2 linked regions of the Tamandua tetradactyla genome follow. The protein of the gene in region 1 interacts with the protein of each later gene in a pairwise test. Links are inferred from orthologs where the notes say so. Each region holds a gene or a part of one and is shown on either strand. Other genes may lie near its edges.

Evidence for each region. The genes of interacting proteins can lie anywhere in the genome.
Region 2: the proteins of NFYC (region 1) and DR1 interact in binary tests that used the Homo sapiens proteins (3 or more experiments, as listed by UniProt). The link is inferred for Tamandua tetradactyla from reciprocal best matches to the Homo sapiens genes NFYC and DR1.

Annotation. Positions count from the first base shown.
Region 1 is NC_135328.1:184,322,411-184,329,256, reverse strand, and holds the start of NFYC (nuclear transcription factor Y subunit gamma), read left to right. Parts: upstream 1-3,835; 5' UTR 3,836-5,005; coding exon 5,006-5,174; intron 5,175-5,227; exon of another isoform or gene 5,228-5,311; intron 5,312-5,331; exon of another isoform or gene 5,332-5,580; intron 5,581-6,846. UniProt on the Homo sapiens protein: Component of the sequence-specific heterotrimeric transcription factor (NF-Y) which specifically recognizes a 5'-CCAAT-3' box motif found in the promoters of its target genes.
Region 2 is NC_135337.1:30,527,749-30,535,564, reverse strand, and holds the start of DR1 (protein Dr1), read left to right. Parts: upstream 1-4,803; 5' UTR 4,804-5,617; coding exon 5,618-5,837; intron 5,838-7,816. UniProt on the Homo sapiens protein: The association of the DR1/DRAP1 heterodimer with TBP results in a functional repression of both activated and basal transcription of class II genes.

The DNA.
Region 1 (6,846 bases):
ATAACACACTAATTAGCTACTGTCACTTCTATCTGTTCCCTTGTATTTAAGTTCAACCTCATTGAGTAACCTTCCCTGCGTCTCTAACTTCTGTATAATTCTAGGTTTGCTATATTCTACAGCATTAACTTCTGGGATTACCTTTACCGGAGTCATAGTAGGGAAATTATACAGTATCTGTCCTTTTATGTCTGATTTATTTCACTCACCATTATGTCCTCAAGTTTCGTCCACATTTTCATATGCTTTGAAACCTCATTTTGTCTTACTGCTGCATAATATTTCATCGTATGTATATATCACATTTTGTTTATCCACTTGTCTGTTGATAGGCACTTACATTGTTTCCATCTTTTGGCAATTGTGGATAGAACCACTATGAATATCGGTGTGCAAAATGTATATTAGTATAGGGTTCGATTCCTGGTGCCTGCCCATGCCAAAAAAAAAAACATCTGTTGGTGTCACTGCTTTCAAATCTTCTGGGTATATGCTGAGTATTGGTTTTGCTGGGTTATAGGGCAACTCATTGTTTAGTTTTCTGAGGAATTGCCAGACTGTTTTCCACAGCAGCTGCACCATTATATATTCCCACCAACAGTGAATAAGTGTTCCAATTTCTCCACATCCTCTCCAACATTTGTAGTTTTCTATTTGTCTAAAACAGCCATTCTTAACAGATGTGAGGCGATATTTCATTGTCGTCTTGGTTTAGCATTTTCCTTATAGCTAATGAAAATAAGTATCTCTTCACGTGCTATTTAGCCATTTGTATTTGCTCTTCTGAAAAGTGTCTGTTCATGTCCTCTGCCCATTTTATAATTGTTTTTGTTGTTGTTTTGTTGAGTTGTATAATTTCTTTATGTACACAGGGTATCAATCCTTTTTGTGTTATGTGGTTTCCACATATTTTCTCCCATTGAGTTGGCTACCTCCTCAACTTTTAAACTTGAAGATGGATTCAATTTGGGAAATAGCTCTTCAGCTAAATAGTTGTTCAGTACCAAGTTAGGTGAAATATATGGGTCAAAAATTGCAATCTCTTAGCCCTCACTTTTCTCTCATCTGCTTATAATTATTTTAAAAAATTGTACCAAAGGTTAGAATGGAAAGATTTCATATTTTGAGAATCTAGCTTTTGCTTCTTTTGAAGAATCTGAAACTCTTACTGCTGTGGGCGAGCATTATTACATGGCCATTGTCGATTGAAGCTGAGTAGTGACTGCCGCTTTAGATTGCACATGCACTCTCCAGCTTTCCTCAGTCCAGACTATTCCCTGTTATTTCCTTAACATTGATGCTGAGATAAGGTGTCATTTGTTTGTGCTGAGCACTGGAGATATGGAGATAAATAAGACACAATTGTTGCTTTCAAGAAACCCTTCTTAGTAGTAGACATGTTAAAAAGTAATCATATATGCTAAAAGTGAAATAAGCCAGACACAAAAAGCTAAATCTTGTTTCATTCACTTATAATAAAATATCTAAAATAAGTAATTCATAGAGACAAAGGAGATTAGAGGTTACCAGGGGCTAGGGGAAGGGGTTATGGTGAAATGGAGAGTTATTTAACAGGCACAGAGCTACTGTTTTGATAATTTAAGGTGATGATGATAACACAACATTGTGAATGTAATTAATACCCCTGAACTTTTTAAATGGCAACACTTAAAATGGTTAAAATAGCAAATTTTTTGCCATAAAGATTATGCCAATAAAAATTAATTATATGTGCTATAGCAAGTGCATATTTAAATACTAATTGAATACCTACCACATGCCAGTTATGCTCAGTATTTTCACTTATGTCAGTTAAACCCCAGACTCCTGTGAGTTGGTGTTACTTATTTTTTTTCATTTTACGCATAAAGAAACAAGCTCAGAGATGGTTAAGTAACTTGACCAAGACATACAGCTAGTGAGAAGGTAGCTATGATTCAGAGTTGGTCTTCTAATGAAGAGCATTGTTTCTCACCCTGCCTTCTTTGAGAGCACTGAAACTTGAACCACACAACCAGAGTCATGGATTTTGTGATCTTGGTGTTTTTTAGGATGAGAAGATGCAGTTGTCTGGTATAAAGGGCTGTTGAGATTCAGGACCAGAGAGTAATGTGAGTTGAAATCTCAGAGATCCCACATAGTCCATAGTAGTGACAAGCTAGAGAAGAGAAAGCTATAATAAGTGAATTGGTCTGGCGGCCATATGGAAATTCAAGGATAATTTGAGTTCTCTTCCTTTCCACTTGTAACTTGAATGTAAGGTGACTGTTGATAAGATATAGGCGTTGAAGTGTTTTTCCTGCAAACAGCCAAGAACTATAAAAACTATGCTGAAGACCTTCACAAAGTATGAAGGGACAAGATTGGTTTAATCTGGTACATCAAAAGTGAAGTTGAAGGGCAGACTTCTGGAGTAATAACCAGACCTCAGCTGGGATTGGTGTGAAAAGCATGGCTATCCATCATAGAAACTGGGGGTGATTTTTTAGTAGCAGCTGATAGTCCTCCCACAGGCCTTTTATGGCTGTGGAGTTGCTGTCTGGCTGCAGAATATGTTAAAGATAGAAGAGACTTTCTCTTAGAGTGGCTTCAGGGTCTTGAGCAGGTTTTGCCCCTCTCTGAGCCTTAACCCCTCTGTAAAACTTCAAGAAGTTGAAGTGGATGACTTTAAGAATTTTGTGTTTATTTGATACTTACGTAGGCTCAGAACATTGTGCTTTATAAACTTTAGTTCATTTATTCCTTATAGTGGCTTTGTGATACAGGTGGTGATATCCATATTTTACAGATGAGGAAACTGAGGCTCAGGGTCAGTCAGGTCATACAGTTAATTGCAGGAGCCAACCTAGCTCTACCTGATTCCCAAGTGCTTAGTTGCTTTGCCATACTGCTACTAATTACTAATCCAGTGATGTGAACATGTTCTCCCTATTCTTCTGGGCTTATTGGCTTTCTGCCTTCTGTTTCGAGGTAGATAGCTATGCAGAATTTGTCGTCTAAACATTTGAGAAAAGAACTACAATATCTGTAATTCTCGGTAACCTCAGGCACATATATCCCCTCCCTTTAACATGTTCAAACTCTTATTTAGATGCCATAGTGAAATTGTCACAGAATCCCTTAGTATTTCAATGTATATTGCTTTTAATATTTTATTTGGTAGCAGTCTCAAATCCCTGTAAATTATAAATGTTAATTTGTTAACTGGTTTAAATGTTCTTAATTAGTAATAAAATTTATATCAATTTATGAGGTGCTATTTTGGTTAGATATTTAGCTAGGTCTCTTACTAACAGATCAAACTCAACAGTAGTCGAGTTTCTAATTTTTAAATGAATGAAGTTGGGTAATGGTTTTATGCAAACTGTATAATATGATACACCTAAGAATTTCCTTGGATGTGCTTACCATGTTTTGGAAAGCAGTGTGATACAGGGGAAAGAGAACCATCCTAGGTGGGAACTGAATTTGCATTCTTTATATATGGCTAGGGGCCAATTGTTAACTCCTTTGACCCTCACTCTTTGACACGTTTGAGGGAATTGCAAGTGAGGATTGGAGGAATAATGATACCTGGCACTTAGTTCAGAAATTATTTAATCTCATTGTAGGAAATGAGTGAATTATGTTTGGAGAAGTTAAACCTTCGTCCTATTTCAGGGCCCTGCTGGATCTCTGCATATGTCCAGAATGACCTCTTATTTAAGGTCATCCAAGGAATGTCTAGAAAAGATCTTAATCTACCTATTAGGTGCAGATTTGAGGAGATTGTTAAAGGCCTCAGGTTGTGGCGAGATGTTTTTATGGTGAGATGTTTTCATTTGAATATTTGTAAAAAAAAAAAAAAAGAGATATATACATTTATTTTCACCAGAGGAAGAGATTCTGCTTAAAACCTAACCTGTTGGGCTTGAATTCCACAAGCAAATCTTTGTGCAGCACTCTGAATGTCTTCAGTAACCACAGTGGGTCAAATAAGAATATGCCTCCTGAGATCAGCCCTGCTGCATATTCATAAAAATGTGATAGAAAAAGTTTTATTCTCTATAATATAAAAACTCTTATCATGTTAAGAGCTAATCAGCAGCATTTCGTGACCAGCCTTTTGTGGTTCATATTGTGACTATAATGTACTAATTTAACAATGTATTTGCTGATGGTATATTTTCTTTGCCAATTTTTTCCCATGTGTTTCTCTCACTGGGTTCTTGGTTGACATTTTATAAATACCATTATTCCTGTTACTAACTTCATACATTACCCCCAGAGATTTACTGTTTAGATTAGTTTGTGTTTCAAAATAAAGTGCTTTGCCTTGGTATTAACCTAATCAGTGTTTTAAAAATTAACATAGACATAATAGCAGATGCCTTTTTAGAAGTCCTGCAGAGTATTATGTAGCAATGGGTTATCACTCTTTGTTATTTTAAAGAAGCTGCATTTTCTTGAGTCATTAGATTAGCACTACCCAGTTTTCTTTTTCTTCTGTTAATGCTCAGCAGATAACTGAAGATAGTTAAGTTACAACTTTCCAACCTTGTGCACATTGTTTCTCTGGTTCACTGCTATAGTTTACTGTAGCAGTATCTTATAGACATCTTTGATGGCCAATCAGAAACAGTTAAATTACCTTAAATTTTTTTTAAATGGAACTCTAACAACCAATAAGAAACCTCTTGGGTGGGAACTGTAACGACCTTTACATGTGATTTTAAGAACAATTCTAAATTTGCAGTATCCTCTGTTTTGAAAACATGTGAGGCCCTAGTGCATCTACTATGTGCATTTGCCTGGCTTTTCCAAGCCTCACGTTCCTGGTAGTTTGAAGTCTGAATCTGACCCCTGTTCTGCTTCTCAAGGTAACTTTAAAACAGGAAGTGTACAAAGGAGGTAACTGATGACGTGAACAGCCAATCATGGCTTTGTGTTTTTAGCCAATAAAGCAGGTCAGCCAATGGGGACACTATGGAGGCGAGGTTTGGTGTCAAATAGCATGCTAGATTGAATGCCTTTGACTGTTAAAGTGGAAGGAGGCTGCAGGGCTTCATTGGAGCCTCGGAGTTTTTCACTGAGGCAGGGGTCAGCTGAAAGACAAAGAAAAATGGCGAATAGTTTGTTGGGGGGTGGAGGGACAGCTGTTCGGTTTTTCACTGGAGTGGACATTCCAGACTCAGGTTTCTGCATCTCCTGCTGCCTTTTGTTTCCTCCGTCCTTTTTTGGGGGGGGGGGGGGGGGTTGGGATAGGAGTGACTTAAATTCTCCCTGTCCGAGGAGATATAAATAACTACATGTAAAATTAATGCAGTTCCCGGTAAGTTTAATTTTTTGTTTTGTGTTGAAATGATAGAAACTGTTTAGCTTCAGAGAGTGTAGACAAGTTGCACTGTTTCAGAAAATGGCCACTTTACATTCCATGCATACCTTTTGGTGCACCTACAGTACCTTGCTCTGTTTAGATTTTTGCATGCCCTTCAACTAGAATTTCTTTTCCTAGTGAGTACCAACAAGATCAGGTACATGAAGAAAGGCTTCTCATTTTTCAGGGGCACACAGAAGCAGAGCACTTTTTCTTTGCATTAGGTAAACTTAACTGTTTTCCAAATAATTTTCCTTTGTTCAAGTGCACTGAAGCTTTCCTACAGAATAAGCTAAGCTGTTGTGAGAGTTTTTCTATTTCCTTGCACTTTGCTGACATCTGTGTTTTCAGGGGTGGAAGCAATACCTTTGCTGTTCTGAATTTGTGTAAAAATATGATTTGCGCTGATGCAGGTTCTAATGGTGAAGGCCCAGATGCCAGTGTGAAATTCTCCCATAACTTTTTTGATTTACCTCCCTGCTTCCAGATTTTAATAAGTAGTAATTAATTTGGTGACAACCTTTCGTTTTAAAATGCACATAAAAGCTTAGAATGCTGGACAGAAACATACTGGTTGACTATATTGGCAGTGACCAGAGTAAATCTTTTTCCACCAATTTCAACATTTTGTCAGCTGCTGATTTGGGTCTTTAAAATGTTGTGAACAAAATGCTTTTCGTTTTCTGTATGACATATTTAAAATTCTAATTTACCTGCAGTTTGTGAATAAGAAAGTTAAGAGTACGGGTACCCTACATATTGCCCTTGGTGATTTTTTTTTTTCCTCTTTTGGGATATGAAGTTAAGTGGGTTGCTTATCAATTACCAGACAGTTCTTGGGAATAGTGGAGTCTTCCATCCCGTGTTTTAAGATCTATACAACATTTGATAAATAAAAGCAGTCTTTTGTTTTCTTTTTATTTGCAAATATGGAATGAAGGTCATTGGAACATTTCTGCAGCAGACTGTGGAGCAGTAAGCCAGCAGCACTCAGTGTCTGGGTAGGGAAAAGGAGCAGGCCCTATTAGAGAAGTTTGGAGGATGTTGATTTCCCTTCCTCTTGCTTCCCCTTGAATTAGAGATTTACCTGAGAAGATCAATAGGGGTTTATATTTTGAGCTTTTGGAACTGAAATGGTGTAGCAGTCAAAGTTGGTAGATGCAGGCCTCTGTCGTTGCTCACAAAAGTGACCTTGAAAAACTGCTGAGGAGTTGAAATATTGAAGGACAAAGTTTGTTTTTACAGATTGAACTGGAAAGCTCTCTCTCAGATGAAAAGAGACTGTACTTTTGATGGTCAGGTCTAGTGATTAGTAGAAATATAAATTCAAATTAGGAGTTTTCAAGCAATAAGGCAATAGGACAGCATTCTCTCTCCCTCTCTTCTCCATTCCCTCCTCCAGCAAAAAAATTCCAAATCTTTTTAGGATGATAATTGAGTGAACTGCCTAACAGACTCAGAACTCCTTGTGCACTACCTCGTCTTTGTAA
Region 2 (7,816 bases), on another chromosome or scaffold:
AGCAATCATTCCCTGCCCCACCCCCACCCCCATAATTATTTAGGAGTGGCTCTCCCCTGTCTCACTGAGATGGAGTCAGGAGCTGCTGAATCATATAAATTGTTTCCAAATGACTTCGATTTGTTTTCTCTCATTCTTACTCCACACCTTTGTTCAGGTCTACATTATTATTGGCTTTGTAATAGCCTAATAACTAATCTCCTTGTCTTTCCCCATTCCCATTCATCCACATGTTATCCCAGACTAATCTTTTTAAACATTTTTATTGTCATCCTCCTTCCCAAAAATGTGCACTAGCTCTTCCCATTGCCTACAGAAGAAACTCCACATTCCTTAATATAATGTTGGAAAGAGCTTAGGCTTTGGAGTACGAAAGCTTGGGTTGCATTCCCAATCTGTCATTTACTTCTGACCTTGAATAAACTCACTAAATATTGATTCTCTGATCTATAAAATGGTAATGCTAACTAGTTACAAACAGTAAATTCATGTAAAAGTGCTCTGTATTTTTAAAGTGTTATAATGAATGTAACTTTTTCTCTCTTGCTAAAATTTAGAGATAGTTACTACACTGAAAAAAAATAGCCTCAGCTTTGGACTTGAAAAACAAAACAAACAAAACAACCAGATCTCATATTCCAGTTCCATCACTTATTATGTGTGAAACTTTGAACAAATTAGTCAACTTCTCTGAAATTGTTTCTCCACCATCAAAACATCTGTTTTGTAGAGGTATAGGAGAAATGAAATGAAATTTTGACTATGGACATTTCTAGCACAGTTTGTCATTCATAATAGCACTGATTTATTTTTTGTCCTAATTTACCTTTTCAGCATCTGATACCACTATAACGGTTCACGATCTATAAACAGAGCCACTCTAAGCAATACTTTTGTGTTTTTTCTTCAGCTGTATGCCCTTTTCTTCTATATCAAATTCTACTCCATTTTGAAGTCTCAGTTAAAATGTTGAGTCCTGCATATAGCCTTATGTAACTCACACTGTGTCAATCACCATTTCCTCTGCAAATCTTTAGCTTTTTTCTTTATAGCATTTAGTTTCAAGCTGGTTTATAGTCTGCTTTCCCTGAAAACAAGTAGAGTGTTGTGTTTATCTTATTTCTCCCTTACCATAGTTAGGATAGTAGAACTCAGTTATCGAATGAATATAGGAATCAGAGGCTGCCTATCTTCTTCCCATTGCCTAAAGGACATCCCTCCCTTAAATGCCTATTGTTGCTTCAAACCCAAACACGTACAAAAGGAGGCATGTTGTCTCCTCTAAACTGCTTCCTTTCAACTTGGCCGTTTTTGTCAGTGACACTACCCTAATCCTTAATTCCAGTCTCTGAGGCTAAAACTTTATAATTTTGTTTGACTAATCTGTTTCTTTCACTAAGGAAGAACCAAATTTGCAGGTTCTTCCATCTTTTTCTGTGAACTGGTTTTTTGTTTCACTCTATTATTCCTATGACTAATAATTATCAGTGTAATGATTATTTTTAACAACCACCATCATTTATTGAGCATTTAAGTTCTCAGTTACTTTGTATACATTATGTCATTTGATCTTTGAAACAACCCTGTGAAGCAGGTATTCTTATTCTTATTTTATAGGTGAGAAAAATCAAGACACAGACTAAATACTCTGCCCAAGGTTACATAGCTGGTTAAATGGTAGCTTAAATACAAATCTAAGGCTAAAGTCCTTGAATAAGTTGGTCTCTTTCAAGTTGCAGAAAACAAAACAGTGTTTAAGAAGGGTATTAAATTATAAAGACACACAGGAAATAAAGAAGCAAAGGAAACTGTTTCATAGAGGCCTACTGATTCTTTCAAAAGTGCATACATCAATACTCTAGCATTCCACTATTTTGTTGGGATATATGACAGAGGCATTTGCTCCCCTATACTTGAGAAGACAGCTTTTGTTCTAGCTTCTGTTGCCCTTGTTACAACTGATTTAGCTTCTCACTCCTCTCCCTCTATTTCTGGTTTCTATTGCCTCACGATTTCTGCTGCCTTTTATCTTTGGCTTTCACACTTCTAATAAACAAAAATAATGCTTTGCTTCAATTAGGGCCATCTCCTCACTGTTGCCAGAATAATTTGTCTCCACAACTTCGAATTGTTACTTTAAACACAAATACTTTTTTCCTTTCTCTCTACCTATCGAAAATTTACATTTCAAGGCTCCTTCAATACTTCTTCCCAAATGTTTCAATGCATACTTGAGTGACTACTATGAGAAAAGTCCCCTTGCTGACCCTTCATGAACCCACAGCATGAGGAATAAATAAATCTGTTGGGATGTGGGAGCTATTCCAAACTCATTCTTTATGGCTAGTGTTACCTCGATACCAAAACCAGAGAAAGACCAATATATTTTATGATATATATGCAAAAATCCTCAACAAAACACTAGCAAACTGAATCCAGTAATATATAAAGAAAATTATATTCTTTGACTAAGTGAGATTTATCCCAGGGATACAAGGTTGGTTTTACACTTGAAAATCATTTTAATGTAATACATTATATCAACAAAATAAAAAGCAAAAATCACAGTCATCTGAAGAGATGCATAAAAAGCAAGTTATTTAGCCCCTCGGAGTTACTTTCTTTATCTGTAAAACTGGAATTTAAACAGTCCCTATCAAGTAAGATTGCTGTGAGAATTAAATGAGATAATATGGGTACAAGTATTTAGCACAGTGCTAAGCACAAAAGAAGTATGTTATGCTTCAAATTACAAATATTACGGATCTACCATTGTCACTAATTTTAGCTGAAGACCTGGGCATCTAAGAAATAACACATTTTAAGATAACTATTTAAATCATCATAAAAAAATAATGCATTATGCTATCATGTTTCTGTTCATATCATGAATTTGGTGATACCATAAAAAAAATGTCCCATTTATGTGCACTATCTCTTAAACTCTTAAAGCTTATTAAGGAGATGTTATCCTTGTTCTCAAAAGCCTATAAATATCCCTATAAGTAAATACTTAAATATGGAATCCAGAGCAGCATATTTCCTGACATACCACATTGCTATTTATATTTAATAAAATTTTCTCTCAGCATATTATATAGGGTTTCTTCCTGGTTGAAACTGCCCCTTAACCGAGACCTGATAAAAGTGACAGTAAACCCTAACATTTATATAATGCTTATTACATATAGCATATATAATATATGCTATAATATATAAAGTAAAAAGTATTTCCACATACAGTCATACTTGACTGGAATCCTGTGAATTATATATCTCATTTTTTCTTGAAGAATATGAGGCCAAGAAAGTGACCTACCTAAAGTAACAAAAAGGCCGAGACGAACCTAGATTTCTTCTCTACATATTCCACGTTCATTATGGCTGTAGTAACAAACTACTACTGAAATAACAACTTAAAATGCATGCTCTATTGATCTACATAACATACGTCTCTAAGTCTACACAGCATAAGTGTTATATGAAAAGGCACTATTTTCTTTTTTAGGAGAGACAAAATATGGGCCAGTGACAATGATATCTCTGGGGACTGATAAAATTAATAAGTCCATGGTTTGTAAGATTAATATAAGGCCAAATTTAGATGACATAACTCTTTAAACGAATAGCAAACTAAATTACAAAAACCGTTTCGGGAAAACGTTACCTCTGAGCCAACATTTTCACATTCCTACTTTGAATTTTAAAATATTGTTAAATCAAAAAAATTTTGTTTTGACTAAACTTACTAGAACTGAAAAACAAGTGTTCACACTTAAAAAATGAAGGAACAGGCAAGTGTCCAGGAAAAAATGCTAAACGAAGAAATGATAAACGTAAGATCCCTTAGAGGTGCCACATCTAGAGTTTTCAGACAGAAACAAAACGTTTTTAAAAATATTCCAAATAACCAGCCGCCGCGCAGTATATATAAAACAACGTATTTGATGCACTAAATCGCCAAAACTGATTTAAATAGTACCTCATTTACATTATAGAAATTGCAATATTCCACTATTTATAATGTAGTCTCTTCGTTCAAATGACAGTACAATAAATTTGGTTTCTAAAAATAACACATTTTTTGTGAAGAACTCGACACCTGTAGAGATAAGCAAATATCAGAGTTGCTTAAGATACTCTTAACATACATTTTTTTCCCTCCAGAAGCCAGCGTGCAATACATTATGAAAAACGGCTATGTTGGAACGATGACTCGTACGCTAAGCATTTCCACTACAGTGGGTCTGACTTCTAGTTTCCAGTTTAGCCTCAAGTTGTGACTAGCCAAGCCTCCTCTCTGAATATCTCCTTTCCCATAAAACGAGAAAGTGGGTGGAAGACCATACAGCGCTTTGATTCGACTAACAACTATCAGACATTTTCAAAAGCTTTCCCTCGCACGGTGCAGGTACATGATGTTCAATCTATCCCACCTCCTCATACCGAGCCCAGGCCCCGTTCCTTTCCCCTTCAAGCTCAAACACGTCTCCTTAAAGAAAAGTAGAGAGTTCTTTTAACGAAATCTACAGCTCCTTTGTTCCCAAAGACGGCTGCGGCAGCGTTTCGAGGCCGCAGAAGGTTGAGAGAAGGCAGAGGCGAAGAGACTGAGTTTCCTCTCGCCCACCCACTCCAATTCCTGTCCAGTGCCCAACCCCGAAGAAAGCGCGTGCGCAGGTTCCCCGGTACCGCGATACGCGCGCGCCTGCCCAGCAGCGGACCCCACGAAGGGGCAGGATGCCCGGGCGCGTGCAAGGCCCGCAAGAAGCGGAAGCTGCTGGCAGCGAGAACAGGCGGTTCCCGCCGGCGCTGGTGGGGGAAGGGCGGCAGCTACACCCGGAAGTCGGTATGGGAGAGAGGGGGAAGCTGGTGTGGGCAGAGGCTTCCGGTGGTGCAAAGGGTGTCGGGAGCGGCTCCCAGCAAGCCTTCCTTGGCGTCTAGAGGGGCCGCCGTCGCTGCAGCTTGGGCTTCCAAGATCTTCGTTCGGGCTAAACGGTCACGGCGGCCGCCACTGAGATCCCCCCGTTCCTGACTTTGTCCGTATTCTTGTCGAGGCAGCCGCCTCAATTTCAGCAGCGGCCTCGGCCGACATGTTGTGAAAGCGGCGCCGGTATCTGAAGGATGGTTTGGCAGAGGCGGCAGCAACGGCTGCTGGCGGCGGCGGGGGCTCAGGCTCTGTAGAGCCGAGCCCGCTGGGTGTCCGCCCTGTACCGCGGCGAGGCCAGTGCCCCTGGATCTTGCCTCTACTCCGGCGCCGTTGGCGGCCGGCTGGTTAAGCGACAGCGCTCGCCCCTCCGAGGAGACACGGAGGTGGTTCCCCAGCCGTTCAAATTTCCGGACCACGCCGAGCTTTCCTTTCCCCGGCCCGGGCAGTGCTGCCTGCAGAATCTTCAGCCCCCCGACTTTCCTCCCAACCTCGCCCTAAATCTCACATACTCTGGTGTTCCCAACCCTCTCAAGCCAGCTCCTCTCCTTCCCTTCCTGCTTTTTGAACCCTGTTCTCCAAGCGCCCCTCGGGGTTACTCTCCAGGGCGGCCTTTTGAGAAATTCCGTGAAGTAGTGTACCGGAGCCGGGGAGTTGTTTTTAAAGTCGGGGCGCGAGAAATAGGAAGGTACGATGGCTTCTTCATCTGGCAATGATGATGATCTCACTATACCTCGAGCTGCTATCAATAAGATGATCAAAGAGACTCTTCCCAGTGTCCGGGTGGCCAACGATGCCCGGGAGCTGGTGGTGAACTGCTGCACTGAATTCATTCACCTTATATCTTCTGAAGCCAATGAGATTTGCAACAAATCGGAAAAGAAGACCATTTCACCAGAGCATGTCATACAAGGTAAGTCGCATGTGTGAGATTTGATTTAAATGAGGGTGGGGGTGGGGCGTGCAGTCTGCTAGTTGCATGGCCGGTTCGTGTCAAAGCCTTCCAGTCCTCTTCACCGGTAAATGAAAAAGCCACCGGGATATGAAAGCAGCTTGTGCCTTATGAAAATCTTGTTGTCTTGCGGTACTTTTCATCCAGCGAATACACGTAAAGATTGCAAGCAATTAGGCCATTTTAAAAGCCCCAAAAGATAAAGTATTAATAGTGGTCTGAATTTACAACCAGATAAGCTGAAGCAGCAAGAACTGCCTGCCCAAAGTTGAACGTAGGAAAATAACCCAGTAATTTTACCTTGGAAAGTTAAAATTCAGCCAGAGGAACTTAAAACATGAGTTAAAAACAGAGCTCATCTTTCACCCTTGTAGAGGGAGAGATTGATATTCTGAACACATAAATTTAAAAAATTATTAACACGAATATGTTCAATATTGTAAAGCTTATTGGTGTTGAAAAAAGGAAGGACTTATGTTTTCAACTTTAAAAATTGTTTGATGGTCCTACATTCATTGTTACCAAAGTACTTCTTACCAAAGTAAGAAAAGTGAGTGCTTTTTAATTTTTCTTTTTGTGTATATGTTTGTTTTTATGTAGCTTGCTTTGTTCACTGGAGATAGGTTTGAATGTAACGAAAAGCTTGTTTTGAAAGGTTATAAGAGATTTTTTTCGTGAAACATTTCACCGTCATTTCCTGCTGCCATTCCCTTTTAGATGTATAGGCTTACACTTTCATTGAACAGCATTTGTGAAAGTTTTGGGTTTCTTCTCTTTTATCTTGGAAGGCATCTAGTCCAGTAATAGGAATTTAGGGGAGCATATTTTGATGGTTTTGGACATCAGGAGGCATAATGTCGTAATGTTTTGGCAGGCACTTTCTGTAATGTTTACATCGTACTTCTATGCACAAAGTTGTTTTCAATTTAAGGTAATAACTTGCCCTTTGTAATAATTTAATTTAAATTCTGACAATCTCTTGCTTGCTTTTGAAGTTGGGGGGAAAAAGCCATGATTAATTTTAATCATTTTGTTAGGCAGATAGTTACCTACCATTTCATTTTTATAACTTAATTTCTTTTAATTAGAAAAGTTGTAGGTTTATAGAAAACTCATGCATAAAATACAATTCCCATATACTACCTTATTGTTAGCATCTTGTATAACTTAACTTTAAAAGGCAACTTTTCTGCTATACTAAAGTAGAGTACACATCTGCACATGTTCACCATTTACATTATTTTACCATCAATATTGATAAAAAGGATTAAATGATTCATTTTTTATCGTTAATGGTGTATTGAAGGTTGATTTGAAATATATCCTGCAATTCAAGTCCATACAGAAAAAAATCCCTAGGAAGAAGCATATTTGATTCTTTTTTTTTTTTTCGTATTTGATTCTTAAAGCTAATAGTTTTAGGTTTTTTCCTACTGTTTTGGTGTGCTGAATAGTCTAGCAAGTAAAAATGAAAGCCAAATTATCTATATTTTTACATTTTATGTGTGATGCTTCCATACAGTCTTTCACAAGGTTTATCTAACACAACCATAATTTCCTTTTGCAGTTCATAAAAAAGAAAAAGGATACTTTATCAACATTGCCTTTCTAATGAAAATTGAAAACGATTTCAGCAGAATCTGCCTAAATATTTGTTTACACTACAGAAGTGGGGATCATTCCAAAAATCTAACACACATTATAATCTTTCTTAGGGAGTTTATTCTATTCTAGGATATATTTAGATTTCTGATTGACACATTGGAATAAAAAGGCAGCTGTAGCAAACTGTATGCTAAATAGTTCAATTTTGAAATATGCTAAATTCAGTTTAATGCATGAGTTGGAAAATTACAGTGAAAAAGCATTTTCCTTTTTGTACTGAAATTAATTTGTTAATTAAAAAAATGAAGTATTGACCTGTTTTAGATTTACCAATT